6 linked regions of the Oryctolagus cuniculus genome follow. The main gene of each other region encodes a partner of the protein of the gene in region 5 in a complex. Links are inferred from orthologs where the notes say so. Each region holds a gene or a part of one and is shown on either strand. Other genes may lie near its edges.

Region 1 (4,897 bases), on a different chromosome or scaffold from region 5:
GGATGGAAGATCTTTCTCTCTCTCTGCCTGTCCTTTGCTCTCTGTGTAATTCTGACTTTAAATAAATAAATCTTAAAAAAAAAAAAAAAAGCTGTCTTTTAATTTAGTGTTTCCCTCTTCAGATCCTAGTCTTAAGCTCTTCAGACAGAAGCAACAAAAGGTTAACACTGGTGTAGTCAACGTGACTAAGTCTGACGAATCAAAGGTCTGATCATTTTAAACTCAGTTTCCACTTGGAATGTCCACACCACCGAAGCATTTCTAAGATAACTCAGCTCTGTACCAGGGCTCCTCCAAGGTTATTTGGTTAAAGTTATCCACACCATCTGTGCCACGGCCTTCCCTCCTCCGTCTCTGGGGCTGCACCTGTCAACTCACTTCTCAAATGCACGACTCCCTGCCAGCCTCCCGGTCTCCAACAAGGGTGCAGGGGAACAAGTCAGGCCCAGTAGTCGCCCAGCGGCTGAGTCCGGACGCGAATGGGAGCGCTCACTCCGTGTTGCCATTAGAGACGAGGCCTTCCTGCCGGCGGCCACAACACGGGACTCGCAGGAATCACGCTGACAATCCTGAATCCTTACTCGTGCTGGATAAAAACACGACTGCGCCTGTCGTCCAGTCTCTCTCCAGCACGGAGAGTCAACTCGTCTAATGTCGAGCTCCGATCCTGCTGCACCCTGTGAATTCCTCTACAGCTACGGCATTGGCTCACCGCGCTGCAGGAAAGATCCCGAAAACCACTAAAATTACCCAGCCCCTAACCGCCAACAGAAAACAGGCAAGGAAAGGGGGAACCGCGACTCTCTTGGCCCCCCCTTTTTTTTTAATATACAAAGACGGGAGAGGTCTGAGGGCGCGGGGTGCAGTGCGTGTTACCACCGGCCGGACTTCAGGGCTCGCTGGCTGAGAAACCCGGCCGGGCTCCGGGCCACGCAACTCAGCCACCGCTCGGCCTGGCCGGGCCGCACCTACGAAGACGTCAGAGGCCACTACCTACCTGCGCCCGAGGCTAAAACCCGGCCCAGCACTCCTGCGGCCGCCACTTCCACCCGCCTGCCTCTCAGCCTGGCCACTGTCTCCACCGCCGCCGCGGTCTTCCTGTCCGCGACGCCTCCAGGACCCTGGCGGACAAGGTAGCGCAGTCACGCCGCGCCACTCTTCACGTAGCCTCCGCCGTCCGTTACGTAGAATGCGTGCGGCCCGTCGGCGCCTGCGCGCGGCTGGGGGGCGGGCCCGCGCTCTATCTCCCACGCCCATTTGAGGTGAGGTGGGACTGCTGGGAAAATTACATAATCCCCGCCCCTGGGCCGGAACTACCCTCTCCGGCCCTAGCCCTCTCCGCCCGGGTTCAGTCGAGTGACGGCGCTCTGAACCGGTGCTCCGGAAGCAAAAGGTGGCCATGCTGCACGGGACCACGTGGTCACAGCCGTGTGGAAAAATATTGCTCAAGTTGTGTCTGGAAGGGACCACAGTGAAGGGAATCGACATTTTTATAAAAGTGTTTCCGTCCAAGCCTCTTTTCACTTGGGATCTCTGGGTGGTTGTCTGACAGCCCTACTCTTTTATTTCCATATCCACTTGCTAGGCAAGCCATAAGCGCTCTTCACCAAGCAGCGGTTTCCTGTCAAGGTGTGAGGAGCCGCGAGCCATTCCGGAGCTTTAAAGAAGGGGAGTCAGGACGCCTTCCGGCGCCGTAGCCTCAGGCCCCGCCCTTCGGCCGCACTCTCCCCTCTGCGCATGTCTGGCGAGCGTTCCCCTCCCCCTCCCCGTCAGCAACGGGCCGTGAGGCGGCGGCGGCGGCAGCGGCTGCGAAGGGGGCGGAGAGGGCGGAGCGCGGCGGGACGGGGTCCAGCCCGCGCGTACTTGGGTCCGTCGGATTCTCTCGGCGGCGGCTGTGGTACCGGCTGCCGCTGCAGCCCTAGCAGCAGGTTTGTGCGAGCGGGGTCGGGACGCGCGGCCGCTAACCCTTGGGGGCACTGGAGGCAACTGTGGGGCCTAGCGAGAGACCTGGAACCGCGGCCTCGCTTAACAAAGAGTCGGCGGAGCCTCGGGCAGCGGCGTGCGGGGGCCCGGGAAGGAGTGGGAGTGCGGGCTGAGGCCTTTAGGGAGCCTTGCGATCCGCGTCTGCCTCCCGCGGCTCCCGCTTCTCTCTCAACTCTGAGCGAGGCCCAGTTGGCGGCTTTCCGGAGGTGGCGCCTGCCGGGAGAGGGAAGGGATTTGCAGGGTGCCGGGCTCCGATGCGGGGAGAGCCACGGGGAGAGTCTGCCCTAAGCTGGCGTCATTCGGGACATGCAGGTGCCCAGGTCGGGGGCTTCCGACAGTCCCAAGTTTCCAGATCAGACGACTGTGAAAGACACAGTCGGTGCTCTTTGCAGTCTGGAGTAGATCAGTGATGAGCATCACACAAAGTTTTTTGCGGCCTACTTAAGATTTAGAGTCTGCCTGATGTGAGTAAATAAAGCAAGTATGTGTACAAAGAAATGTAAGAAAAACTAGTGTACCTGTTAGAGTTTGGGGAAATCGGAGGCTCCCTGTCACCTTAGGGGGCATTTTCCTCTTTGCCGCCACTCTTTTAGGCTGTCATTCACTTTCCTGTGTCTGCCTTGCATGTTCTTGTAAATGATGTTTCCGTATGGGTTCTCTCCAGTATATACACACCCAGGAGCTCCTAAAGGGCAGGTCCTAGGTCTTAATTCCCTGAAACTTTTCAGAGCCACGCCCAGTTCTGGCACAAAGAAGGTGAGCAGTAAGTGTTTTGTACAAAAAAATGATTTGCAGGCCTTAAGCTGGGTAAGAAGGTGGCATTTTCCCGTACCTAAAAGGAGTATTATTTACCTAGTCCTAATTTGTAATCCGTTAAAGAAATGCTGTAGTTGGTGCGTAGTGTGTTCTAGGTGTTAGGGAAAGCCTGTGCCCCTATGAAAGTTACCTTCTAGTGGGGAGAAGAGAGACCTGCGTGTGTCTGACTGTGTGCTAGGAACGTGATCAAAGATGTAAAGCTAGAAAGGGGGTGAGGGATGTTGCAGTTTGCAGGCGCGGTCAGGGAGCCCCTTACAGACCGACTGGAGGAGGTGAGGGGATGAGCCCTGTCTGCATCTGGGGAAGGGAGCAGGGAGCACAAGGGGAGGACAAGGCTGGCTTGTTGGAGGAACAGTAAAAAGATCCATGTGTTTGGAGCAGGAGATAAGGTCAAGGAAGCAGGGAAGAGGATGGACAGAACAACCAGGGCCTTTTAGGCTAATGGAAGGATTGCACCTTTGCTTTCTGTGGGATGGGAGCCATCTGAGAATTTTTGAGCCGAGGGGTGATAAGGTCTGGCTTACGTTATAGTAGTATTAGCAGAGTACTAGCATGGTTCTTTAAATTTGCATTTTATCACAATGATAGTTGTATAATCAACTCTGGATCTTTAAGCTAAGGTATACTTCTAAAATATACTTCTAAAGGTATAGTTATACTTCTAAAATAACTATAACTCAGCAATTACTTACATTTGACCTTAGGAGAATGATGAAATTTCTAAATTTTATACAGATCCTCATTAAAGCACTGACAGCATGCCAGATGTTCTCAAGGATAACGTTTTCATTATTAGGTGGAGAAATTGCTAATCAACTGTCACTGTAATTCTCCCAGCTATGAAAATACAAGTGATGATATGGTTGATATAATCAGATGTTTCTAGTCCACTCTTTTCTTCTTCTTTTGATTATCAGGGAGACAGTGAGCTAGTTCTCATCTGCTGGTTCACTCCCCAAATGCCTGGGACAGCTGGTTTGGGCTGGGCCAGACCAAAGCCAGGAGGTGGGAACTCAATTCAGATCTCTCATACAGGTGGCAGGAACCCAACCACTGCTGCCCCTTTGGGTCTGCGTTAGTAGGAAGCTGGAATCAGGAACCAAAGCCAAGTATAAAACAACAGGTGATGCCTGTGTGGGACGTGGGTTTCTTGAATTTGGGGTTAAATGCCTGCTCTAAGTCTTCTGCCTTTATCCTGTCTTATTTTCCACCATTGCCCAAAACACAGTTACCATCTTGTATTCTACTCTTAGTCTCACTTCCTAGCCCTCACTAGTTCCCTCCTTTGCATATCTTTTCCTAACTTGTATATTTCTGTGCTTTGTCTGGGTTCAAGTTTCCTTAAGATGCTTACCCTCACTTGTCAACTCATAGCGATCTCTAACATCTTCAGTATTTTGTGGGACTTTGGTATGAAATTATTGAGTTGAAAGAGATCTGATGGAGAAACTGGCTTCCAGAGAAGTATTGATAAACATAATGGCAGCTAACATACATACTTACTATGTGCCAGGCGTTGTTAAGTGTGTTCTTGTGTGTGAACTCCGTTTCATACTCTAACCTTTTAGTTAGGGGATAGTCTCACCATTTTACAGATGCGGAAACTGAGGCTCAGAGAAGTCAGTTTCCTTGGGGTTCACATTAAGTTGGTGGCTAACCCAGAGTTTGAACGGAATTAGTCTGTGCTTTACTCTTCTCCTCTTAGAACTACTCCAAGTAGGACTGTTGCCTTCTTAAATTTTTCTGATCAGCCAAGTTCTGTGTCTTCTTGAGTCTCCTGTATATTGAAGAAACATGAATAAAGAGCACCTACACTGGAAAACATGCTGTATGGGATTTTCTAAAGAAGCTTGAGCCAGTTGGAGGAATAAAACAAGAACACAAATTATTAAACATCAGGTGTTTAAGACCAAAAAGGGAGTTTGAGGAATGTGATACCACTTCTCTGGGGATATAATATTCGTGTCATGTTCTACTTGAGATAGGCTCTGAAGGATAGGACTTTAGTAGATACAGTGAGAAGGCAATCCTTCTCCCTGTGTAGATAGAGGGCAGAACATTCACTGAGGTGCTTGGTTTTCTTGGAATACTGAGTGCC
Region 2 (4,972 bases), on a different chromosome or scaffold from region 5:
AAATCAAATCAAGATCCGTTCTCTAAAGCAGTATAATCCAGCTGGCAGACTACAACCTCATTTTTAGAAAGAGGAACATGATTTGAAAGTCAAAGGTAAATGCAAATCAAGGTCGAGGGCAGGAAAATGTGCAAATCACCAACTGAAACAGAGTCTGACACTCTACTTACAGCCCTTCTCATCTCCATAAGCAACACATGATCTGATGGTGCAAGGAAGGATCTTGGGGGCTGGTGCTGTGGTGTAGCAGGTAAAGCTGCCACCCGCAGTGCTGGCGTCCTGGACCACTTCCAATCCAGCGTCCCTGCTAATGGCCTGGGAAAGCAGCGGGAGATGGCCCAGGTGCTTGTGCCCCTGCCACCCCCATGGGAGACCAGGATGAAACTCCTGGCTCTGGCCTGGCTCAGCCCTGTCCATTTTGGCCATCTGGGGAGTGAACCACTGGGTGGAAGATCTCTCTAACTCTGACTTTCAAATAAGTGAATAATGATTTTTGTTTGTTTATTTAAAAGTGGAGCAGTCAGGACTGCAAATGGTGTTCTGATATGGAATGTGGGCATCCAAGCAGCAGCTCAATCTGCCGCACAATCCCCACTGCCTTCGTCTTGAGAAGAAGCAGATTCGTGGGTCTGTATCAGTAAGAGCCCTGTTGCCAGTACTATTCTAAATATAAAGGACAGAACTTGCCCTTGGCGCCGATCCACAAGGCCTTTCCCTGGCATCTGGCTCAGTGAGTCAAATACCTCACTACTGCCACTACATAATGTCAAGGGACAAATGTCTGAGGCAGATGTGCAATCAATTCTGCAATATGAAACCAACACAGCATCCACTCATACACACACACCCATGTATATAATTATTTAAAGTCCGAGTTAGAGAGAGACAGAAATATTTCATCTGCTTGTTCACTTCCCAAATGGCCGGAGCTGGGCTGGTCCGAAGCCAGGAGCCGGGAGCTGCTTCCAGGTCTCCCATGTGGGTGCAGGGGCCCAAGCACCTGGGCCATCCTCCACTGCTTTTCCAGGCACATTAGCAGGGAGCTGGATTGGAAGTGGAGCAGCCAAATCGAACCAGCACCCATACGGGATGCAGCTCCGCAGGTGGCAGCTTTACTGGCTATACCACAGCACTGGCCCCAGCATTCATTCCTTAGCGACTTAAAGCTGAAATCAACTTGAACCATCCCATGGGCACAGTGCATTAAGGCTTACAACACTGCTATCCCATACCGGAGCGCAGGTTCATATCCTGGCTGCTCCACTTCTTTTTTTTTTTTTTTTTTTTGGACAGGCAGAGTGGACAGTGAGAGAGACAGAGAGAAAGGTCTTCCTTTGCCGTTGGTTCACCCTCCAATGGCTGCCGCGGCCGGCGCACCGCACTGATCCGATGGCAGGAGCCAGGAGCCAGGTGCTTTTCCTGGTCTCCCATGGGGTGCAGGGCCCAAGCACTTGGGCCATCCTCCACTGCACTCCCTGGCCACAGCAGAGAGCTGGCCTGGAAGAGGGGCAACCTGGACAGAATCCGGCGCCCCGACGGGGACTAGAACCCGGTGTGCCGGCGCCGCTAGGCGGAGGATTAGCCTAGTGAGCCGCGGCGCCGGCTAGCTGGCTGCTCCACTTCTGACCCAGCTCCCTGTTAGTGCGCCTGGGAAAGCAGCAACAGCCCCAGTACCTGGGTGCCTGTCACCGATGTGGGAGGCCCAGAGGGAGTTTCAAGTCCCTGGCTTCTGCCTGGCCCAGCACCAGCTGTTGCATGCATCTGGGGAGTGAACCAGCAGATGGAAGATCACTCTCCCTGTCATTCTGCCTTAAAAAAAAAAAAGTCGTATTCCTTAAGCAACAAAAAGCCAACTTGAACTGCCTCCATGTCAATGCTGCTATCACATCAGCCAACAGCCATGCTCGATCCAAGGAAAACACCGAGCAGCTAATGCACACCACGCGCTGTGCTAGGACTTAGCAAGTGCAGGAGGCTGCGTCTGCGTGAGTAATCAGACACCAAAGCCAGGAGGGACGGCGCTCCCAAACTGCTGGTGTCCACAAGGACTTGCTCCTGTTGCACTTCTGTCTTTGGTCCAGAATAGCTGCCCTTTCGCGGACCACACCCAGCCTGGCTCAGGGAACGTGAAGCCATTACAACCTGGGCGGCCAGCTGAACACAGGACCCTCCACCGGCCAGAGGAGACCGCTGTGGGCAGCCAAGCCTTGGGAGGCTCAGAGCACAGCCCAGACACTCACGTCCTTCTCCTGGATGGTGCACTCCTTGCAGTAGTAGGCGTCGGAGACCCCGGGGCCGCCGCAGATCACGCAGCGCCCCTGGTAGGAGCCGTAGTTGCATTCGTCACAGATGCGCACCAGGGTGCAGGGACGCACGTAGGAGTCACAGATCACACACTTGCCGTCACCTGCAAGCAGAGACCCGAGTCACGCTCCCTGCTGCGTACCTCGGCCTCCGTCTACGCCGGCATCCACTTCCATCTCCTCCACAGGTAATAATAATAATACTAACAGCAATAAAAAGCGGTCAACGAACACCTGTCAGGGCCCGAGAGCCGCACCAGGGAGGCCAGGAGCTGAGTGTGTGCAAGGGGCGGGTCCCCACGGCTCTGGGACCCTCCCCTCCAGAGCCCACAGATTTCCCCCAAGCATGCGGGAAGGCGGAGGGGCCCCGGCAGCAGCCTGGCGTTCGGCGTTCGCGCGCCCCCAGGCACATCTCCCCGAAGCCCCCCGGCGGCCACGGGAACCCTGGGTGGTGGGGGGCGGAAGGCGTGTTCCACTCACATTTCTCACACAGTCTTCCGATGGCTGCAAGAGAAACGCAAACAGCGTTAGAGCGAAGGCTTTGATCAAGAGGAGCTCCTGGGGCTGGGCGTCGGGGCGGGGGCGAGGACAGCAGAGCCCCGCGGGATGGCCCTTGTCTCACTACGGACTTGGATCTGAAGCGAAGCGCCCGGCGCCCGGCCCCGGCCCCGGCCCCTGGCCGCCTGATCCGACTCCCAGCACGTGCGCCCCCGGCGGGCCACAGCACAGGCCACGCACTGGCACGCTCCTACGATACCCGCGACCGCCGAGGCGGGAAACGGGGCTGCCCTGAGGCAGTATCCTAAGGATGGAGTGGAAGTCCCCGGGCCCCCCGCTCGAACAACCCCCCTATCCAGGCAGCCGAGGGCAAGGCGCTGTCTCACCTACACCGGCCTGCTTGCGGCAGAAGATCAAGTCCGGATGATGTTTGGCCATAGCCCCGACCCTAGCTTGCCACCGGAAGCTCCGGGAACTTCCGTCCGCCCTTTACCCCGCTCTTGTTCCTGCCTCCAGGTCGCCGTGATTGGTCGTCGAGGCTTCCATCAGCAAGTACAAGCTGCACCGAGTCTCGCTCGCTCTCGCGAGAGTTTCTGGAGCTGCGGGAGGCCAGGTCCTGGTAGGTTCATGTAAGTCTTAAAGTAAAAAAAAAAAAGCCTCCCAGACTTGGATGGCAGAGATAACCTAAATCTGCTCTTGGATATAACATCTTTGTTCGCGGTGTTTAATTATGCAAGTTTTTTATTTCGGTTTTTAGTTTACCGTATCCGTACGTACTTTCAGGCATATCTTCCTTTCACGTGTCCGTTTCTCATCCCTGAGCTCCTCCCACTGCGCTGGCAGCACTTTGGCGCCCCCTAGGGAAGCCCCGCCTCCACCATGACGTGTCGCTCTTCAGGCCACGCCCCTGGCCGTAGGCTATAAATGAGCCCGGTGGCACGTCACTTTCACGCGACCTCATCTTTGTCAGTGCACAAAATGGCGCCTTACAGCCTACTGGTGACCCGGCTGCAGGTGAGAGAGCTCAGGGCCCTGTGGGTTCACAGGGGCGGGGTGCCTCCTGCTATGCCCGCGGCAGTGGGCGAGGCAAGGCGAGGCGGGCGCGTCTTCGGGCTGACTTCGCGTGCCCGTCCGGGTTGCGGGCGTAAGTCGGTGCCCGCTCCCCCAGTGCCCTAGGTCAAGGCGTCCCCGGGCCGTCAGTCCCTCCCTGCCCGCTAGGCAGCGTGGGCCCAGTGAGTGGCGGCCGGTGCAGAGTAGAGACACCTTTCCCCCCTTTCCGAGGACGGCAGCCCTCGCTCCCGTGGGGTGACTTCCCGTTTCTCAAGGTGAGGGCAAGGTGACTTGGGGGGCGCCGTGGTTGTTGAGCGCTCTAGGCCCAGCGCCCGCCGCCCTCGCTCCCCGCTCCGCAGCGGGGGCCTGCGAGCCGAGTGCGTCCGCGGTTGCCGGGCTTCGAGGCTGGAGAGGAAGCGCTAGTCCCTTAATCCATTTCTGGGGACCCTCCCGATCGTGCAGCCGCGAATTCGAGGGGCTTTTCCGGCTGCCGGAGGTAGCGCGTAGTCAGCTTCTCAGCAGACTGCAGGGCTGCTGTATGCTGGTCGCTTCGTATACTCACCCGGTGAGACCGAAGTGGGTTGATCGGCTCGCCTGATGGCTGGGGGAAGCCGCCCCTCTGCTGCTGGTCAGCCTGCTCTCACCGAGCTGCGGTGCGCTTATTTGCACTTGCCAGACTACAGAATGGCGCGTCTGAGCTCAGAATTAGTTGCTTTTCAAGTCCTAGATAGACAGCTAAGGGGACCGAGCAGTCTGACCTTGAGGGCTCTGTTGGGAGCCGTCCGGAAGGCTGTGTCTGCCAGATGGCCTCTCACTCCTAACTTGACGTATTCAAAAGTTCAATGTCAAAATGTGTGTTTCGTTAATAAAAGTTAAGAAAGCAAGTGTCTGTAGACATTTTCTGTTAAACTTTTAGCCATCAGCTTTGTGAGTCTTTGGATCAAACAGCACAACTTGGTAGAATCAATAAAGAAGTTGAATGCGTACCCTCACATTGTGTTACTTTTCATCGCACCGCTGGAGTTCTAAACCATATGGCTTCAGGAAAATCATTTATTCCAGAATACTTTTGGTCTCAAATTCTGAGCAGAGGCGAGAGGTCTGAACTGAATTGTCTCTCC
Region 3 (4,974 bases), on a different chromosome or scaffold from region 5:
GTTTTCCATCCTGTACTCAGTCCAGTAGAGCCCAAGTTCTGGGGCTCTTCCTCTGGCAGTTTCAGGCCTTGCCACTTAGCACATTCTCCAGGGCTCTGGTTACCTGATCAGCACTGAAGTTGTTCAAAGAGACATTCTTCTCTTGGCCAAATGCTGTGTAGGGGAGATAGAGAAGTGGCTTGAAGAGTCAACTGTGCACAAGCATAAAAGTCTCTATCTTACGATCTTGTTAGGATGGGAAGAGTGGTAAAGGAACATGACCAAGGGAGAGTGGGTATGACTGGGATTAATCCAGTGGGTCCCAAACTCAGGAAGCCCAGTTTCAAATACAATCTTGGCTGATTCTGGGCAGCCACGATGAGACTGAAAGTGTTCCAGGGAGGCTTTAAAGGGACACTGTAGATGTTTATTTTTAACTACCATGAGCAGTGTACTGTGTAGGCCCAGCCTTGGCTGGGCACCCATTCTTCACTAGCATAATATACTAGTCTCTCTGTCTCTATACTGACTTTTGGAATGTGAACTTTTTTCCCTTCAATTATTAGTGCATGGCACACTACAGTAAGAACAAATCTGCCTCTCCCCCAGCACATGATATCCCTAGGGCGGGGTGGAGTTACAAGCTATGATTAAAATCCCACGATTCAGTTCACATAAATACTGCATAACTACTATGTATTAGGCAACATGCTAAGAAATTTCCAGATTGCAATAAACTAGAATGGGGTAATACGATAAGGGGCTGGAGCAATATAACATGGGCAGGGAATGTCTTTTTAAGGTGGTAATACATCCATCCAACCCAAATCACAACAACCTAACAAGGGGCCAGTCATGGAGACCTAGTGCGTTCCCGGAAAAAGGAACAAAGGTAACGCATCTACCACGTTCTATCCTAGCTGCAGAGCTTTAGCTGTGCTCTGGACAGTTCTGATTCGGTTTCCAATCTCTGCAATAAGAAAAAAATCCCCTCGTGATTAACGAACTAAAGTGAGCCTTAAGTTAGGTAGAAGCCACTCAGCACAGGGATGGATGGCATTACGCGTCCAACGTCACGGGGACGCTCACACCACTTGGAGCGGCACCGGCCACACGCAGTTGGGAAGGCCCTACACCGCTGAGCGTCTCCTATCTGAAGTCGGCTCTGAACCACAGAAATGACAGCTCCTGGTCCCCGCGCAGGCCTCGACCACGTCCAAGTGGATGTTGTCTAGGCTACAGAGCATCACATGAACCCTGCGAATTTCAATTCCCTCACTGGCAACAAGGTCAACAGCAAGGCCAGAGTCCAAATTCCTGTCTCTTCGCAGGTTTCTGCCTCACTCTGGGCGGCCCCTTCTCTTTTTTTACCCCCGGCATCCCGCGCTCACCGTAACGGGCCCACAGTTTGGGCTGCACGTCGGAGCATTCACGGATTAGGATGGGTAGGTCGGGGTTTGCCTTCTTCAGCTCCACGTAGCGTTTCTCGATGAAGTCCCTGTGGGGCCGGGAGAGCGCCGCGCGTGCTGTGGGCACAGTCCTGCCCAAACACTGGGAGGTCGAGGTCGTGACCCCGGCGTCCCGAAGCCCGCCCGCCTGCTTGCCTCACCACGCCACGCCTCACCTGACGCCCTGGCTCCCGGGCGAGCGCTGACATAAGTGGATGCGAATCTCACGCAGCCCCAGTTTTGCCCCGACCCCTCGGGTCGCTGCGGCTGCCGCCATCTCCGCTGCTACTGAAGACCCCCAAGGCAGGTACTTCCGGCCAAGTTCTCTAGTCGGACCAATAGCGGACTCCCCAACCTCCGCCATCGATTGGGCGATGTAGAGGGCGGGGTAAAGGTTTAGCCAATGACAAAAAAGCGTTGTAGGGCCGCAGTGAGGTCATCTCTGTGCGCAGGGTGGGACGGATTCGAGAGGGAGGAAGCGGAAAGGCTCGGAACACAAAGCACTGTGGGTTCATTTCCGAGGTGCACTGTGGGAAGGGCTTGTTGCGACGGTGTTGTTGTTGGAAATTAGGCTCTTGCTGTCGTTGAAACGCAGGAGACAAGATGCCGGAGCGAGATAGTAAGTTCGGGTCATCTGTCCTTTTTTCCCTGCGGGACTCGGGGCACTTGGCGCTTTACCTCGGCTGCTGAGCTTGATGGTGTGTATGTGAGGCTTGCAGCCCAGCGAAGCTCTTGGGCCTTTTGAGCAGCTGCAGACTCCGTTCTCAAGCCTGGTTGCTGCCCCCAGAGAGGACGAACAGCTTGTGGCTGTGGCCTCTCCTTCCTCCCCCGCCCCCTTATTTACTCCTAGGTTGTGTCTGTTCTTTTTTTTTTTGACAGGCAGAGTGGACAGTGAGAGAGAGACAGAGAGAAAGGTCTTCCTTTGCCGTTGGTTCACCCTCCAATGGCCGCTGCAGCCAGCGCGCTGCGGCTGGCGCACCGCGCTGATCTCACGGCAGGAGCCAGGTGCTTCTCCTGGTCTCCCATGGGGTGCAGGGCCCAAGCACTTGGGCCATCCTCCACTGCCTTCCCGGGCCACAGCAGAGAGCTGGCCTGGAAGAGGGGCAACCGGGACAGAATTCGGTGCCCTGACCGGGACTAGAACCCGGTGTGCCGCAAGGCGGAGGATTAGCCTAGTGAGCCACGGCGCCAGCCTCCTTTTTCACGTAGTATTTTAGATGTGATCTTCAGGAAACCTTTGTTGACCAGCCAGCGCGGGTTTAGGGGCCGCTCTGCGTTACCACAGCTTCCCCCATGTCAGGACTTAGTACATTATATTGACGCCATCGCTGTTCTTAGGTTTCTGCTGTGTTCTTCACCACTGCATTCCCATTTTGACACAGGACCTGACGCATGAAATTAAATTAATGTCAATTCTTTTCGATAGGCGAGCCGTTCTCCAATCCTTTGGCCCCAGATGGCCATGATGTGGACGATCCTCACTCCTTCCATCAGTGAGTATTTTGTTGTAAGGCCAGAGAAAGGAATACGCTGAGCAACGGTGGAATGGAGTAGCGGTGAGAGGGTGAAAGAATTGTGAATTTCTTATCAACAAGAATAGTCCAAAAATAGTACCACTTGGCCTTTTATCACTATGAACCTTAACTGGGACAGGCCAACCACAAAAGATAATTCAATCAGTTCTAGCATGGAAGGTGCTAGTATTTTTTTTTTTAAGTTTCCTTGATGTATTTTGAAGGGATTGAAGAGTGACAGAGGTAGAGACATAGAAGAGAGATTTTTCACCCTCTGATTATCTGCCCAGGTGGCTACAGCCACCAGCGCTGGGCTAGGCGGAAGCCAGGAACTTAATCCAGCTCTTACTTGGGTAACATGGACCCACGCATTTGGGTCATCTGCTGCTGCTTTTCCCAGGCCATCAGCAGGGAGCTGGATCGGAAGTGGAGCAGCTGGGACATGAACCAGTGCCCATATGGGATACCAGCATTGCAGGTGACAGCTTTTACCTGCTATGCCAAATGCTGGCCCCAGGTGCTAGTTTTTTTTTTTTTTTTTTTTTTTTTTTAAATAAAGATGTATTTTATTTATTTGGAAGAGTTACAAAGAGAGATATAGACAGAGAAAGATTGGTCTTCCAACAGCTGGTTCAGTCCTCAAATGGCTGCAATGGCCAGAGCTGAGCTGATCCAGGAGCTTGAAGTCTCTTCTGGTCTCCCATGCGGGTGCAGGAGCCCAAGGACTTGGGCCATCCTCCACTGCTTTCCTGGCTCATTAGCAGAGAACTGGATTAGAAGTGGAGCAGTTGGGATGCAAACTGGTGCCCATATGGGCTGCTGGCACTGCAGGCTAGGGCTTTAACTCGCTGCACCACAGGGACAGCCCCAGTGCTAGATTTTTTTTTTTTTTTTTTTTTGACAGGCAGAGTGGACAGTGAGAGAGAGAGAAACAGAGAGAAAGGTCTTCCTTTGCCGTTGGTTCACCCTCCAATGGCCGCCGCGGCCGGCGCGCTGCGGCCGGCGCACCGCGCTGATCCGATGGCAGGAGCCAGGTGCCAGGTGCTTTTCCTGGTCTCCCATGGGGTGCAGGGCCCAAACACCTGGGCCATCCTCCACTGCACTCCCTGGCCACAGCAGAGAGCTGGCCTGGAAGAGGGGCAACCGGGACAGAATCCGGCGCCCCGACTGGGACTAGAACCCGGTGTGCCGGCGCCGCTAGGCGGAGGATTAGCCTAGTGAGCCGCGGCGCCGGCCACCAGTGCTAGATTTTTAAATGTTGTTTGATTAGACATTATACAGGAATTAATTCCTCTCATAGAATATTAAACTATAGGAAGGCTAGCACTGTGGTATAGTGGGAAAAGCCGCTGCCTGCAGTGCCAGCATCTCATATGGTCACCGGTTCAAGATCTGGCTGCTCTGCTTGTGATCCAGCTCTTCTGCTATGGGCTGGGAAGGCAGTAGAAGGTGGCCCAAGTCCTTGGACCCCTGCACCTGCATGGGAGACCTGGAAGAAGCTCCTGGCTCCTGGCTTCGGATCAGTGCAGCTCTGGGCGCTGCAGCCAATTGGGGAGTAAACCAGCAGATGGAAGACCTCTCTCTGTCTCTGTGTCTGTCTCTGTCTCTCTCTGCCTCTCCTTCTCTGTGTAACTCCGACTTTCAAATAAATAAATAAATCTTTTTTTTTTTAAATAAAGTATAGGAATTAAAGGTAAAGTTGTAATTGATAACATCCCCAATTCTGGTCTGTTTCTTAGAGGTAACCATTGGAGAAAGATTTTTGTGGCAGTGACAAAGAACCCAGGAGTCTTGTTTTTGACTAGAGCTTGGACTGCAAATCCTGTGTGTGTGTGTGTGTGTGTTTTTTTTTTTAAGATTTATTTTATTTATTTGAAAGAGCTACAGAGAGAGGTAGAGACAGAGAGAGAGGTCTTCCATCTGCTGGTTCACTCCCCAGATTGCTGCAACGGTCAGAGCTGAGATGATCCGAGGCCAGGAGCCAGGAGCTTCCTCTGGGTCTACCATGTGGGCGCAGGGGCCCAAGGGCTTGG
Region 4 (4,975 bases), on a different chromosome or scaffold from region 5:
TCACAGCAGGTCACTGTCCCATCTTTCACCTTTCCTACATGGGTCTCTGTGCTACTATGACCATACTCCTATCTGTTCCACACTCAAACTTCCTGGGAGGGGCTCTCATTGGCTCAGTTAGTGAAACCCAATCTAGAATGCAGAGCTCCCCTGCTAGGTCACCTACAGGCCTCTGGGCAGTCTTTGGACTAGGGTGGTTGGGTGATATGGAACTTATGCATGCATAAGGAACCTTTTTGGTCACCTGATCAGGAAGGGGCTGTGGATACAGCAAGCACTTAAGGAGTGTCATTTGCAGTAGGCTGGTGTAGCATTATCACCTATGCTGTGGACTCACTCAGGAATGAAACGGGAGCCCAATAACACATTGCTGAAAACAACTGTATACTATTTTTGGATCCAAGAAGATATACTTAGCAATGTTTAAATGAGCCCAATAAAACTCACATTATCTATATTATGAAAATGCCTGCAAGTTCAGTTCTCCAATAGTTCTGACCAGAACAAGAATGTAATGAAACAGAAATGTACTTAAAACAAAAATATAAACAAATACAAACCCAAACTACTATTTCAAAAACTATGGTTATGGTTGAAACATGGATTCACACAGTTGGCATGTGAGGAGCCAGGATTTTCTAGAATTCATACTCAGCTGCTAAGTTTCGAAGCAAATGTCACTGGAATAGTAGAAATAATTTTTTCTGAGGAGCTTTTCTCCATCCTCAATGAACACCTAACGGGCTGTCATTTTTAAATGGACTAATAAATACTCATTAAAATGACTGTTTTGGAAATAATGGTAAATATAAACCATATAAACAAAAACTCTTTGGACTCTTCAGTATTTTGGGGGAGTAAAGCGATCCTGTGATCAGAAAGTTTGAGAACCACTGTCTCTGGCACCCCATACCTCTCCTGTCAGATTTATTAGCCTTCCTGAGCCTGTTTCCCACGAGCTGTGCCCATCTTGTTGACTGTTGAGTCACCAGAGCCTAGTACATTGCCTGACACTTACTAGTTCAATAACTGTTATACCAAGTGACAAATATGGACTTCTTCGTTTTCAGCAAAGCAAGTAATTTGCAGGGAAAAAAAAAAGTTCTGTTTAGAACAAAAGCGTGCTGTATCTTTCTAAAGGAAAGACAAAGTTACTGGGCCAGCACAGGTTGTGTTTACACTGGGATGTTTATGTTTACGTTTCAAGTTTGGGGCTTGAGCACTTCTGAATCCTGGAGGACGAGGCAGGCAGAGTCCAACTCTTCGTCCAGAGGAAGGCATGAGACGATCAAACAGGAGTCTGAGATTAGGCAAAGGTTGATCCTTGTGCTTATCCTTGGTTTGTTCGTTCATTCAGTCACTGCACACTAGACAGCAAATCCTGCAGCAGGTGATTAGGCTACCAAGATGAGCCAGAGCCGGAGCCTATCCCAGGGCAATCAGAAACAAATAAGTAAAAGACATGACACCGAAGCAGGGAAGAGTTTTTGGGCGACGGAGACGCGACGTTTTTGCGTTTTAAGGAAGCGAGAGAAACCTGTCCTGCCGGTCCCACCCACTCCCCCAAGATGGCGCCCACTGCAAGGCAGTATTCCCACACCTTCCTTTGGGGTACCGCCCGGACTAGGTCAGCCAGGCCGAACCTTCCGAAGACCCACGGGGCCTAAGGCCCCCAAGGGACTGCATTGCCCTAAAGGACCTCATCTCGTCCACAGGAAGGGCCTGGTGGTCATCAACGCACGACAGCCGCGCATTCCTTGGCGCCCCGCCCCTCCGGACCCTGCGCCTCAGGCCTTCGTCGGCACCTTTTGACGTCATGGTAGGCGTGTCGGCGCGACACAGGACGTCACACCGCGCCCACAATGGCGACTGCGTCAGCCTGAGGAGGGCTCCGTTTGAAGTCATTTCCTGACGCTGCCGCGAGAATTGCAGTCGTCTCAGACCCGAGCGGCGGTGGCGGCGGCGCGCGTGCGCGCTCTCGCCGCGCCCTGGACCGAGCGGCGGCGCCGCCGAGGCCCGGTGGTTCAAGCCAGGTGGGCGGTGGCGGAGCCGAGCTGAGAGGATCGGCGCGCGCGCGCGCAGTGGGCGGGCGGACAGCCGCGCGGAGCGAGGGGCGGCGCGGCGGCGAGCGGTCCCGACTTCCCGGGGATTGCTGGGGCGCCGTGGGGAGGCGGGCCGGGGGGCCGCGGGGCGGGAGCGGAGCACGGCCGACCTCCTTCTCAGATCCCCTCTCTGGCGTCATTTCGGCCTCTTCGCTCGTCTGAACCCTGCTTCTGGGCTAGGTAGGAAACATGAGCGGCAACAACTTGGGTGGGAACGACGAGTTTGATGAGCAGTTGCGAATGCAAGAATTGTACGGAGACACCAAGGAGGGTGACACCCAGAACGATCCCGGCGGAGAACCCGATTCTTTCGGGCAGCAGGCGGCTGACACCCCGTACGAGTGGGACCTAGACAAGAAGGCTTGGTTCCCCAAGGTAAGCGAGTAGCACTGGCGCCACTGCAGAGCGGGCCGCCTGGCCAGCTTCACAGAGCACTTTTACATTTGCTGTGCTCACTCAGTCAGGTCTGTGGTCCTCACCCCCCTGGATGGTGACGCTTGTTTTTGTTGTGTCTTTTGCAGAGTTGATGTGTAAAGGAACGTAAATCTTTCGAATGGGGTATTAAATGCCTTTTCCGTGCTTTATTTTGTCTGTGAAGGTCACAGTTGGCTATTCTATTGATGACTTTTTTATTGCAAAGAGGAAAAACACACAAAAAATTTTGTAGCTGATCATCTCAGATAGCCGCCCTCGCTTACCTCACTTATCGTAGGAATTCACGTTTAGCATATGTCTTCGTTTACAAAAAGTTGCTGTTTATATACTTGTGCTGAATGAACTTTGTTTGCTCCTTGCTTTCTCTGCCTGCTGCGTTTGTCCTTAGGCATTTATGTTTGAACTTTACATCCACAAGAATACAATGAGGGATGCGCAGAGTATGGTTGGAAAAGATGTGTGCATGTTAGTTTGGAGTACTGAGAAATTGTTAGATATTTTATTTCTGCTTGGAAGTAACATAACTAGTGAAACTTGGTTCTGTAAACTTTGCTGTAGAAGCACTCTGTTATTCTGAGTCTCCTGTGGAGGCCAGAAAGACTACTAATAGCACACCAAGACATGCAAACCAACAAAACACAGCGTGTCTCCATTGTGTGATTAGACTGATCTGTGAAAAAGTCTTCATTTCTACTTTTCTTTCCCATTTTATATTTGTATATATTGAAAGTTCTCCAACTTTTTAAAATTTGCTATTTTACAAAAGTACAGGTAGTGTCAGCTTGAGGCAAATTGGCTTTCTTCAGCCTTCTGAGTACTTTTAACAGTAGTCTGGTAGTGGATTAATTTATCGTTCTACATTTTTGTGTTATTGAGGCCCTTACCTCTTCAAACTTTGAGTTTTAAATTTTCCCCATTCATGTGTGTACTGAATGTTGATTGAATTGGTGTGATGCTATAAGCACTTTTCTAACATTATATAATAGTCCATTTTCCCCCCAAAACTAGTTGGATTTGCCCTGAATTGATTCTGATTCTAAATGGTGATTTCATTAGTGATAGATTTCAAATGATCATTTAGCTTTGTAATTATGAGTCTCATTCTTTGTATGCCACATCACACTTCCATTCTATGTGCTCTTTGAATTCACATATTGAATAATTAAGTGGAAATATATGTGTGCTTCTATACAGTAAAAAAAGTGGATTTTGTGGTTAGCTTATTAGTTGACTGTAGGTTGTTATCCTGTCGTATTGTTACCTGGTATTTCCTTTGTTATATGTATGTGTAGCCTTAGTCAGTAGACTGTGGAGAGGTAGTAATTTATAAATGCATCAACTAGAAAAGGGACCAACATCACTTAAAGTGCTTTATTAGTACCACAGACTTTTGTCTTGATAATTTAAGTATTTGTATCAGGTGACCATTCTTGGATTTACACTTTAATCACTACAACTACAATTATTATTCACGCAGCGTCTTCGATGGTAAGTTATATAGCCAAATAGTCTGTAATATGACACAGTTTGAAGTTTATGGGTGGAAATAACTGAATTTCTGTGCATGTGTTTGTATGTGTATGCACACACGTGCATGAACTAAATTTCTTGTTTAGATCACTGAAGATTTCATTGCTACATATCAGGCCAATTATGGCTTCTCTAATGATGGCGCATCTAGTTCTACGGCAAACATACAAGATGTCAATACTAGGATTGCTGAGGAACCTCCACAAAGAAAAACTCCTGAACCCACTGATCCCAGAAAGAAGGGAGAAAAAAGAAAATCCGAGTCAGGCAAGTAGTTCTAGCTTGCAGAATATGAGTGTAAAAACTTAAAAGTGTGAATGTATACATAGAGTTACTTTTTGGAGATTTATAATAGCTTTGAACAAATGGCAAGATTTTTTTATTTAAATAATGGCAGATTCATAATTACCTGATTTGATTAGTTTATGCTCTATTTGTATATTGAAAAATTTTACTATAGCCCATGAAAATGTTTAAGTAGGGATCGGTATTGTGGTGCAGCAGGTTAAGCTGCCACTGGGAACCCGGCACCCCATATCAGAGTGTCAGTTTAAGTTGTGGCTCCTCAGCTTCTGATTCAGCTTCCTGTATCTGTATTCTGGAGGGGAGCAGATGACGGATCAAGTCCTTGGGCCCCTGCTACCCATGTGGGACACTAGGAGGAATTCTGGACTCCTGTTTTTGGCCTGACCCAGCCCAACCTTGTTTGTGGACATTTCAAGAATGAAACAACAGATGGAAGATATCTCTCTCTGTTTTCCAAGTAGATAAAAATAAATAACACATTTCAAAATGTACAAATATTACGTACTAGTCAAAAATCTAAATAATAAGCAACAATCAAAATAAACAGGCCTTTTTTTAAGACAATACTGCATCTGTCAAAAGATTCAAACACTTGGAAAGCT
Region 5 (4,377 bases):
TCTCACCTTTGTTAACATAGAGAACTGGCCTAAGAATTAGTTCTTTCAGATTTTGTTTTAAAAGATTCATTTTATTTATTTGAAAGTGTTACAGAGGGAAGTAGAGCCAGAGAGAGAGAGAGAAAAAGATTTTCCATTCGCTGGTTCACTTCCCGAATGACTTCAGTGTCCAGAACTGAGCTGATCCAAAGCCAGGAGCCAGCACTCTTGCTTTACTAGGCCAAAGCAGAGAGCTGGATCCGAAGTGGAGCAGCAGAGACTCAAAGCAGTGCCCGTGTGGGATGCTGGCACTGCAAGCTAGGGCTTTAAACCACTGCACCCCATCACCGGCCCTTATTTTATTTTATTTTATTTTATTTAAAGATTGATTTATTTGGGCCTGGTGCTGTGGCATAGTGGGTAAAAGCCACCACCTGCAGTGTTGGCATCCCATATTGGCGCCAATTCAAGTCCCAGCTGCTCCACTTCAGGTCCAGCTCTCTGCTGTGGCCTGGGAATGCAGTAGGAGATGGCCCATGTCCTTGTGCCCCTGCACCTGCATGGGCCAGAATCTCCTGGCTTCTGGTTTCAGATCGGCACAGCTCTGGCCATTGCGGCCAATTCGGGAGTAAACCAGGCGGATGGAAGACCTCTCTCTTCCTCTCCTCTCTGTGTAACTCTGGCTTTCAAATAAATAAATAAATCTTTTTTTTTTTTTTTTTTTTTTAATTTATTTACTTCATTGGCAGAGTTACAGACAAAGAAAGGGAGAGAGAGAGAGATCTTCCATCTACTGTTCGCTCCCCAAATGGCTGCAGTGCCCAGATCTGGGCCAATCCCAAGCCTAGAGCCAGGAGGCCCAGAGCTGCCTCAGGGTCTCCTGTGCAGGTGCAGAGGCCCAAGCACTTGGCCCTTCTTTATTGCTTTCCCAGGCCATAAGCAGAGAGCCTGATCAGAAAAAGATCAGCTGGGACTTGAGCTCTTGCCCATATGGGATGTCAGTGCTGCAAGTGGATGCGTAAACTACTACGCCACAGCGCCGACCCCAGTTCTTTCAGATTTTAAATAATTCAGCTTTTTGGCTGGCACCGCAGCTCAATAAGCTAATCCTCCGCCTGCCTGCAGCGCTGGCACACCGGGTTCTAGTCCCGGTCGGGGCGCTGGATTCTGTCCCGTTTGCCCCTCTTCCAGGCCAGCTCTCTGCTGTGGCCACGGAGTGCAGTGGAGGATGGCCCAAGTGCTTGGGCCCTGCACCCCATGGGAGACCAGGAGAAGCACCTGGCTCCTGCCATCGGATCAATGCGGTGCGCCGGCCGCAGCGGCCATTGGAGGGTGAACCAACGGCAAAGGAAGACCTTTGTCTCTCTCTCTCTCTCACTGTCCACTCTGCCTGTCAAAAAAAAATAATAATAATCCAGTTTTAGAATTTTGGTGCATGACATCCTTTCTGCCATTTCTATGTTACTGACACATACCATAAATGCTTTCATTTTTATCAAAGAGGGTTTTTTTTTTTTTTAAAGAAACTGTTCTCTTTTTTTTTTAAGATTTTATTTATTTGAGTGGTAGAGTTACAGATAGTGAAAGGGAGAGACAGAAAAAGTCTTTCATCCGCTGATTCATTCCTCAAAACAGCTGCAGCAGTCAGAGATGGGCCGACCTGAAACTAGGAACTTCTTTCAGGTCTCCCACGTAGGTGCAGGGGCCCAAGGCTTGTGCCAAATTGAACTGCTTTTCCAGGTTATAGCAGAGAGCTGGATTGAAAGAGGAGCAGCTGGGATTAGAACCAGTGCTCATATGGGATGCTGGTGCTGGAGGTGGAGAATCAACCTACTGCACCACAGCACTAGCCCCAATAGTTTTTTTTCTAATACATTATTTTTCATCTTCCTTTCTTTTTTGAAACAGAGTTAGAGAAATTTTCCATATGCTGGTTTACTCCCCAAATGGCTGCAATGGTTGGTGCTGGTCCAGGCCAAAGCCAGGAACCTGGAACTATATCTGGGCCCCTTATGTGGTGGGTGCCAGGCTCTTGGCATCTTCCACCACCTTCCTTGGTGCTTTTGTAGTTTACTCTTCATGGGCTTCACATTCAATGTCTTAACATCTCCTTTGGGTAAGGATGGGGTATCAGATCTGATAGGTGTTGCAGGTTGTTGTCAGTGATGAGTGTTTTTGCCTCTAGGTGTACCCAGATGGCATTCGGCACATACGGGCAGACAAGAGAGTCAACGAGTGGAAGACTCCTGGAAAGAAGACAATTGTGAAGTGTGCGGTGAACCAGCGACAAGTGGTGATTGCCCTGACAGGAGGAGAGCTGGTCTATTTTGAGATGGATCCTGTATGTTATTTTTATCATCCACTGTGGGAGTTGTAGTCCAGGCATCTATATTATATTCACAAAAAGTATTGAGGAGTGAAAGTGTCCATTAGCAAACCAGGCATTTTTATAGAAAAGAGGAAAGAATAAGGTGATACCTAATTCTAATTAGAATTAGAAATATCTTCTTAGCAATGAGACAGTTGTCTTAATGCAGTTCGCACTCTACTTTTCCAACTGAAGTTTGGCATAGATTTGTGTCTGCAATCTGAATTTGTGTCTGAGTTGTTCCTTTGCTCTTCTAATATGGAAGGATGGTAGATAACTCTGTCTCTCTCTCTCTCTTTTTTTTTTTTTTTTTTTTTTTTTTTTGCTCTTAGGAAATCTCCAACATAGCCAGTTTTCATAGTCTTAGTGTTTGTTACAGCTTTGTGTTTATCACATATGAATTCCTTTCGCTCAAGGTTTTCTCATGAATGAGCAGTTTTTGTTTCTTGACAGCTGGTTTGCTTAGAAAATTTGTGGTACATTGAACTTGTCAAAGGTCTCTTGATTGTCTTGTCAGTGGGAGAAAGTAATTTTGTTTATGGTTAGCTTATGAAGTTCAATCTTTGGCTCTTGGGTTGGGAAATTCTTGGATGTCTCTATTTAGAGTAATGAAAGAAAGCTGAAAGAAACCTTAAACAGTCTGCTTCCCTTCCTGTCTCCTGGGTGTAGGGTTTGTGGGTGAATTAGGGTATTTCTTTCGCCCTGTACTTTGTGACCTTTCCTTTCTCTAGTCAGGACAGCTGAATGAGTACACAGAACGGAAAGAGATGTCAGCAGATGTGGTGTGCATGAGTCTGGCCAATGTGCCTCCTGGAGAACAGCGGTCTCGTTTCCTGGCTGTGGGACTGGTAGACAATACTGTCCGAATTATCTCCCTGGACCCCTCGGTGAGTGATGCCCTTGTATTCAAGGATCTTCTGGTTTAACCCGAGTACCTGGCCTGTGCATGGTGTCTCTTGAGATTAGCAGGACTGGGCTCCACAGTCTATGTTGCTATGTCTATTGGTTACCATTGCAACATAGCCCAGGCATCCTCCGCTGTGGTTTGAGGATGCTCAACTGAGACTATGAGATATTTCTTTGGCATAAGCTTTGGTTTCCCTGTGTAGTTTTTTAAAAATCAGCAAAGAAGCTTAAAGAAACCAAACAGTTGCTTTCCCCTCTGGATATAGGATCTCGGGCTGAGTTGGGTATGTTTTATCCCTCTGTGTTTGCATAGGAGCAATTGACTTGCTCCAGGGCTTTTGATGGCTTTGAGGGAGGTGTCCTTTGCTTATTTACTCTTCCATTGTATGTTTTAACATAATAAGGCATGTTACTCTCAAAGCTTATGCCCAGATGTCCCCCCCCTTAGAAATCAGTCTTGGGGTTTTCTCTGCCCACTAGAGTACTTCAGTCCTAGAATTAGATTCCTCTTAGGGATGTCTTTCTAAAATTGATCATTTATTGTGATTTTTATGATTTTCTCTCCCTTCCCGCCCCAGGACTGTTTGCAACCTCTGAGCATGCAGGCTCTCCCAGCCCAGCCTGAGTCCTTGTGTATTGTGGAAATGGGGGGAACGGAGAAGCAGGATGAGCTGGGTGAGAGGGGCTCTATTGGATTCCTATACTTGAATATTGGGCTACAGGTAAGAAATCCAGAAACTCACATTGTTGGTATCAGCCTGTCTGTAGGTTCCTTGTACTCCATTGTCCTACACAGGCATTTTTGTGCACTTGGTATCAGAGACTCAGTGTAGGAAAATGAATGGCATTGCTCTCCATTCCACTTTTCTCAGCTCTTTAATTAGAACAAATGAAACCTGAGGAATATTTGGAGAGAGAAAAAGTATTTGTAGAGCGTTCACATCTGACAGCGCTTTGCAGTTGCTACGAAGCCATTGCATTCTCAAGGTCACCTGTGAGTCCCATAGTAGTCAGCTCTTGAAATGAATTACCTCACAGATCACAATTGGCTGCGTTAGTAAGGACCTATACGTGTTCCCTGTTGTCAAACTAGCCTGAGCTCTTCTTGCCAAAGAACAGCAGAA
Region 6 (5,064 bases), on a different chromosome or scaffold from region 5:
TGCCATACAAGAACAACCCTAAATTATTAAGTCAGCTGCACTATTGTGAGAACACAGGCATTCCATTGGTGGTCATTATTGGTGAGCAAGAACTGAAGGAAGGGGTTGTCAAGATCCGTTCAGTAGCCAGCAGAGGGGAGGTAAGTGGGAGCAGGCAGAAACAGAAGCACAAGTATGTGCACCTTTTCAAGATTCTTTTAAGAAGTATGTATTGTATTGATGAGGAAAAACTCCAAGATTAATAGTTGATAGAGATGAATGAAGAAGACCCACCCCAGACAACCATTGTAGCCAGTGAATATTGGCTTGATGGGCAAAGAAGGAGAAACAAAATGGTGCTTTGAGACTGACCAACAAAGTAAACAAATCCCTTTAGTCTTGAGGATGTATGTTCTCCAGATTACCGTGAAGCCCACAGTACACGCAGAGTAAAATGAATCTGAAAAAACAGTGATTAAAGAGTGAGTATCACTTTCTAGTTTGTCACTTCAGGGGTCTCGTATGTTTCAGGTGGCTGTTAAACGGGAAGATCTTGTGACTGAAATTCAGAAGCGACTGTCTGAGTCTTGATCCTTGCTTGAAAGCCGTCTGCTGCTCTTTGTAGAAGAGATTTCATCTGGGCCAGAATTCCTGCTGGATTCCAGCATAGCTGGCCAGGATAGGTGGCAAGCACTTCTACCTCCTCCATCCTTCCTGGATACAGAACTGTAGAAGGCCTGAGGACTCCTGGGCTGGTACGGGAAGCTGCTCTGCATGGGTGCAGATGGCTGGGGTGTGAAAGACATTTTCCAGCTGTGGAAGCAAATTTGGAGTGCTGCTAAATGCCACCAAGAGGTGCTGAGGGGTTGCTGGGAGCAGGGCTCGGCTCTGGGAGAGCCACCTCAGGCTGAGGATTCTGAACCATCGAGATCAGAAGGCAGATACTGGACCTTCCACAGCAGCTTTGGAACCAGAATCTGGGGGATTTGTCCTCAACGAACCCTGGATATGTCCAAGGAGTTTTGTAAAGAAAGCAAGGAGAAGCAATGACTGCTCTTCGCTTGAGGGCGGAGATGCTGTCCTAAGGGCGGGAGTGCCCAAGTTGATCTGTCGTCTCCGCCAGCCACTGTTTATGATAGTGGGGTTGAATTTCATTGGTGGCTTGTCAAGTTGGAGATCTGAGCTTTTGGAGACTATTTCCTATGCCAGAGTCATGCTCCGACTATTCCATGCCCTGCTTTTCTACAGGTGGTTAAATAATTTGTTAAATAAAGTATTAAATGTGGTAGTTTGAGTGATGTGTTATCAAGGGATTGGCTTGCCTAGGTCATTGGCTTGTTTCAATTTAGACTGAAGAATTCTGTGAGCTAGAAGTAACCTCCCTGAGGTGTAGTCTGTGCACGGAGCAACCACAGCCCCTTCTTCCACTCCTGCCCCCCACACCCCGACTCGCTGATAGTCATGTTGCTAGAAATCAACGTGTCCTGAGCCATCTGCCCGAGTGCTTCACCTGATTATTGCTGATGATTGGCCGCCTTGTGTCCAGTCATATTGAGGAAATGGTTTCCTAGAGACTGAATGACCTATGATGTTCCATAGTTGAAGGAAAAAATGAGTTAACCAGAGTGATAGTACTGTTTCGAGAAAGAGAGCCCTAGTGCAAAAAGCGCTCTCCGTCTCTGCCTGGGAAGGTTCAGCCGTTGCCAACACTTCAGTGCGGTTCAGGGCCCCATCCCTAGCAGCTGCAGGGGAATGAGACATCTAAAGCCCCTAGTAGTAGTTGGGACTTAAGGTTTAGAAACTCTTGACAATGCACGCAAAGTTGATTAGAGAAAGAGGCATTTTCAGAACCTGAATTAAACGTGTCGGCTCTTCACCGCTTGTTTTGAAAGCCGGTACAAAAAACGTTTGCAGGCGCCCTTACTTCCGTGTTGCTTCGTACTTTTCTTGCGCCTGCGCCGTCTCCTTGGAGCAGAGGCGGGGCCGACAAGTCTGTTGTGAAAGCCCTCCAGTCCTTAGCCCGTTCAGAATACGAGACTCTAAGCTTATTGGAGGGCCGACTTGCTTTACGGCTCCGGGCCTCTTTTTACAGCATTTTCCGGCCTCCCATTCACTTCGCTGTGAAGATGGCGTCGGGCAGCGGGGTATGTGTTGTGTGTGAGGAGGAGGTTTTTGGGGGCGGTGGGGTTACTTCTCAGTGCTGAATAGAAACAAGCTCCTGCAGCGGACTGGCTTCCCAACACTTCGCGGTCCTAGGGTCCGGGTTCGAGAATTCCGTAAGGCGTGGGGTCTGTGGAACCGCGGAGTTCTCTTGGGTTGGGGTCCTGAGGCCACTTTAGCCTCTTGGTCTGGGCCGGAGAGCTTTCGCTTTCCAAAAATCCTGGAGCCGCCTTGGCGGTGCGGACGTGGTTCCTTCAGACTTTCTAGGGGTCCAGACGCGATAGCGACATGTCTTGAGCGCTTTCTTTCCCCACAGACAAAAAACTTGGACTTTCGCCGAAAGTGGGACAAAGATGAATACGAAAAGCTTGCCGAGAAGAGGCTCACGGAAGAGAGGGAGAAGAAGGATGGTGGGTGCCTGCTCTGTCCAGGGCTCGGGGTGTCGCGGCGGCGATGCAGTGGGCGGGAGAGTTGGGATGGGCTGCCCTCCTACAGGGTGGCACTTTTGGCAAAGTGGCCCGCGGCTTCTCCGCGTCTGAAATAAAGAGGTTTTGTGGTGCTTTTCAGCTCTGTTCTCTGTTTGCTTGTTTTCATTGGTTGGCTCATTTGGTGCTTTCCTGAGTTACAGAGACCGGGCTTCTTAGTAGTGACAGAGAAGCTCAGTGGACTGATTGGCTGGTGGGCATTACTGCTCTCAAAGACACCTTCTTTTCCTTGAGAGCTCTTCAGAGGGAGGAGAACATTCCTGGCGCAGCTGGGACTCTTAGAGCCGGAGGCAAGCGGGGTACTGCCTGGAACGTGCGATCCTTTGAGCTGGCGCTCGCTCGTGCTGTTTCTCTGCGCCTTGTGCGACATCAGGGACGTCGTGGATGCTCCTCTCCTAGATAGCGCCCACTTTGGGAAAAGAAGTGTCTGATTTTTTCTCATCTGTTTTCACGTTGTTCTATTTACTCCCACACCACTTTTCACAGGCCAACAATGCTGTTTTTGTTATTGTTTAACATTTATTTATTTATATGAAAGGCAGATTGACAGAGGGAGACTGAACCCTTCCATTGGCTGGTTCACTCTCCAAATGGCTGTAATAGCCAGGAGCTGGGAGCTCCCGCCGGGTCTCCCACATGAGTGGCAGGAGCCCAAACTCTGGCCATCTTCCCTGCTTTCCCAGGCACATTATCAAGGAACTGAATCAAAAGCAGAGCAGCCCAGGAGTCTAGCAGGCACTCCAGTAAGGGACGATCATGTTGCTGCTGGCAGCTTAGCTCACTGCTGCAACACAGGCCCCACCCTCTTGGTTTTTCTGTATTATGTACTTGGTCTGTGAATAGATATTTCCTAAATATTGGCCCCCCTTTTAAAATTTGGCCATTTGTGTGTTATGCGTAGGGTATCTGCCTGTAAAGAATTCCTGAGTGTCCTTGCTCTTTTTTTGGTTGACTTGAAACTAATAAACTTTCTTGGGTATGCCGGATAATTAAAGGATCTGTTCCTAACTATGTATAAGTGACAAATTATTCCCTCTTCTCACCGAATTCACTTTTTTTTTTTTTACTCATATGTCCTTGCTCTTTTGAAAAGGCTGCTTTTAGTGGGAATTCATAACTTTTCCCCTCAGTTAATCAATAAATAGAAAACATGTAGCTTGTAGATTAGCTGGCTTTAAAGTGGAGAAAAGCTGTAGATAGTAGGGATTGCTTATCATTTTTCTTGTGTTCAGATTCTCCCTCACTACTGCTGACTGCTGCTGGAGGTGCCTGTTGTGGCCTTTTTTCAGGAATCATTAATTTTGGGTTTAATGCATTTATTTTCCTTTCTGACTGATAACTGTAATATTGAAGGGACTTTCTTCATTATGTTTCAGGAAAACCAGTGCAGCCAGTCAAGCGGGAACTTCTGCGACACAGAGACTACAAAGTGGACCTGGAATCTAAGCTTGGCAAGACAATTGTCATTACCAAGACCACCCCACAGTCTGAGATGGGAGGGTAAGTGGTTTTTTTATCTTTCCAAACAGCTGTAGTAGGTCCAAGAAACTATATATATTTGTTTTAGGAAATGTTGAGGATCCCTAACCCCAGGATAATAACCTTGCTGCCTATCATTTCACTCTTTGGTTTGTTTTACTTTGTCCTTCACGGTCTTAGGTTAACAATTAGTGTCTCCAGAAGTGGCCACTCTGTGGCCTTGTTCATGTTGGCAGTGTAACTGCTCCTTACATCTTCAAAGGAATTCTTTGTTAGAAGAAGAAAGGAGGAGAGAGTCTGTTGATTTCTAGGAGAGAAATAGGTGGAACTAGGAGGGGCTTTGGAGCTGTTAATGGTGCAGAAAAAGGGCTGAGGTTCCAGACTGGCACAAAGGCTGCCGTTGTTATGGATTACCTGGTTGTGCACCTTCCTCCCTGACCCAGACTGTAACCTATAGGAAGAAGGTTCCCACAAGATCTTGCCATTCTTTTGCCACCACTGTTTCTCTGTGCAGTTAGGACTTCAAGCAGGAGGTCAGCATAGGTAGCAATGAGTGAAACTTCTTTGAGTGGCTATCATTCTTCTCTGCAGTAGTTCTGTCCGTGGATACATAAATTAATAAGGGAACCCAAGGTTTAGCAGCATAAAACAAAAAGTTCACAGTGTGTGTGGGTGTGGAATCTGGAAGTGGCTTACCTAAGTGGTTCTTGCTCTAGGGTCTTTCATGGAGCTACAAGCAAGGAGTTGGCTAGGTTTGCATTCATCTCGGGCTTAAGTGGGCTGAAGGAACTGCTTCCAAGCTCCCTCACAAACCTATGGTTTGGAGGCCTAAGTTCTTTCACCCTATGAACCTCTCTGTAGGACTGCTCACAACAGAGCAACTGCCTTTTTCAAGAACAAGTGATTCACACAGAAATAGAAGCCGTGGTTTTTAAAACCTAACCTTAGAAGTGACCAGTCA

The links.
Region 1: the proteins of SF3B3 (region 5) and DDX42 are in contact, whole or in part, in a cryo-EM structure (PDB 7EVN), measured with the Homo sapiens proteins. The link is inferred for Oryctolagus cuniculus from reciprocal best matches to the Homo sapiens genes SF3B3 and DDX42. Residues at the interface, in NP_036558.3 of Homo sapiens: Glu159, Ala160, His161, Tyr211, His219, Val220, Val221, Arg222, Lys223; in NP_031398.2 of Homo sapiens: Lys145, Gly146, Ile147, Arg148, Asp149, Asp150.
Region 2: the proteins of SF3B3 (region 5) and PHF5A are in contact, whole or in part, in a crystal structure (PDB 7B91), measured with the Homo sapiens proteins. The link is inferred for Oryctolagus cuniculus from reciprocal best matches to the Homo sapiens genes SF3B3 and PHF5A. Residues at the interface, in NP_036558.3 of Homo sapiens: Gly85, Arg86, Gln104, Glu105, Thr106, Phe107, Gly108, Lys109, Ser110, Leu140, Ile154, Ser155, Ser156, Pro157, Glu159, Ser1162; in NP_116147.1 of Homo sapiens: Gln14, Ala15, Gly16, Val17, Arg44, Asp47, Glu79, Asp81, Arg82, Asp83.
Region 3: SF3B3 (region 5) and IK share a complex: the UniProt entries of both Homo sapiens proteins name them as parts of the spliceosome B complex. The link is inferred for Oryctolagus cuniculus from reciprocal best matches to the Homo sapiens genes SF3B3 and IK.
Region 4: SF3B3 (region 5) and HTATSF1 share a complex: the UniProt entries of both Homo sapiens proteins name them as parts of the 17S U2 SnRNP complex. The link is inferred for Oryctolagus cuniculus from reciprocal best matches to the Homo sapiens genes SF3B3 and HTATSF1.
Region 6: SF3B3 (region 5) and ZMAT2 share a complex: the UniProt entries of both Homo sapiens proteins name them as parts of the spliceosome B complex. The link is inferred for Oryctolagus cuniculus from reciprocal best matches to the Homo sapiens genes SF3B3 and ZMAT2.

Annotation. Positions count from the first base shown.
Region 1 is NC_091448.1:14,944,706-14,949,602, reverse strand, and holds the start of DDX42 (ATP-dependent RNA helicase DDX42), read left to right. Parts: upstream 1-1,735; 5' UTR 1,736-1,928; intron 1,929-4,897. UniProt on the Homo sapiens protein: ATP-dependent RNA helicase that binds to partially double-stranded RNAs (dsRNAs) in order to unwind RNA secondary structures. Unwinding is promoted in the presence of single-strand binding proteins.
Region 2 is NC_091442.1:117,486,217-117,491,188, forward strand, and holds the start of PHF5A (PHD finger-like domain-containing protein 5A), read right to left. Parts: upstream 3,432-4,972; 5' UTR 3,240-3,431; coding exon 3,188-3,239; intron 2,808-3,187; coding exon 2,784-2,807; intron 2,408-2,783; coding exon 2,241-2,407; intron 1-2,240. Other genes in the region: ACO2 (aconitate hydratase, mitochondrial), read left to right, coding at 3,726-3,815.
Region 3 is NC_091437.1:28,275,652-28,280,625, forward strand, and holds the start of IK (protein Red), read left to right. Parts: upstream 1-1,859; 5' UTR 1,860-2,030; coding exon 2,031-2,046; intron 2,047-2,853; coding exon 2,854-2,920; intron 2,921-4,974. Other genes in the region: NDUFA2 (NADH dehydrogenase [ubiquinone] 1 alpha subcomplex subunit 2), read right to left, coding at 62-153, 1,371-1,477, 1,604-1,791. UniProt on the Homo sapiens protein: Involved in pre-mRNA splicing as a component of the spliceosome. Auxiliary spliceosomal protein that regulates selection of alternative splice sites in a small set of target pre-mRNA species. Required for normal mitotic cell cycle progression.
Region 4 is NC_091453.1:114,292,760-114,297,734, forward strand, and holds the start of HTATSF1 (17S U2 SnRNP complex component HTATSF1), read left to right. Parts: upstream 1-1,899; 5' UTR 1,900-2,033; intron 2,034-2,282; 5' UTR 2,283-2,291; coding exon 2,292-2,477; intron 2,478-4,153; coding exon 4,154-4,334; intron 4,335-4,975. UniProt on the Homo sapiens protein: Component of the 17S U2 SnRNP complex of the spliceosome, a large ribonucleoprotein complex that removes introns from transcribed pre-mRNAs.
Region 5 is NC_091449.1:56,664,438-56,668,814, reverse strand, and holds part of SF3B3 (splicing factor 3B subunit 3), read left to right. Parts: intron 1-2,164; coding exon 2,165-2,320; intron 2,321-3,078; coding exon 3,079-3,234; intron 3,235-3,831; coding exon 3,832-3,975; intron 3,976-4,377. UniProt on the Homo sapiens protein: Component of the 17S U2 SnRNP complex of the spliceosome, a large ribonucleoprotein complex that removes introns from transcribed pre-mRNAs.
Region 6 is NC_091437.1:28,328,377-28,333,440, forward strand, and holds the start of ZMAT2 (zinc finger matrin-type protein 2), read left to right. Parts: upstream 1-1,977; 5' UTR 1,978-2,105; coding exon 2,106-2,123; intron 2,124-2,455; coding exon 2,456-2,549; intron 2,550-4,000; coding exon 4,001-4,124; intron 4,125-5,064. Other genes in the region: HARS2 (histidine--tRNA ligase, mitochondrial), read left to right, coding at 1-140, 511-570. UniProt on the Homo sapiens protein: Involved in pre-mRNA splicing as a component of the spliceosome.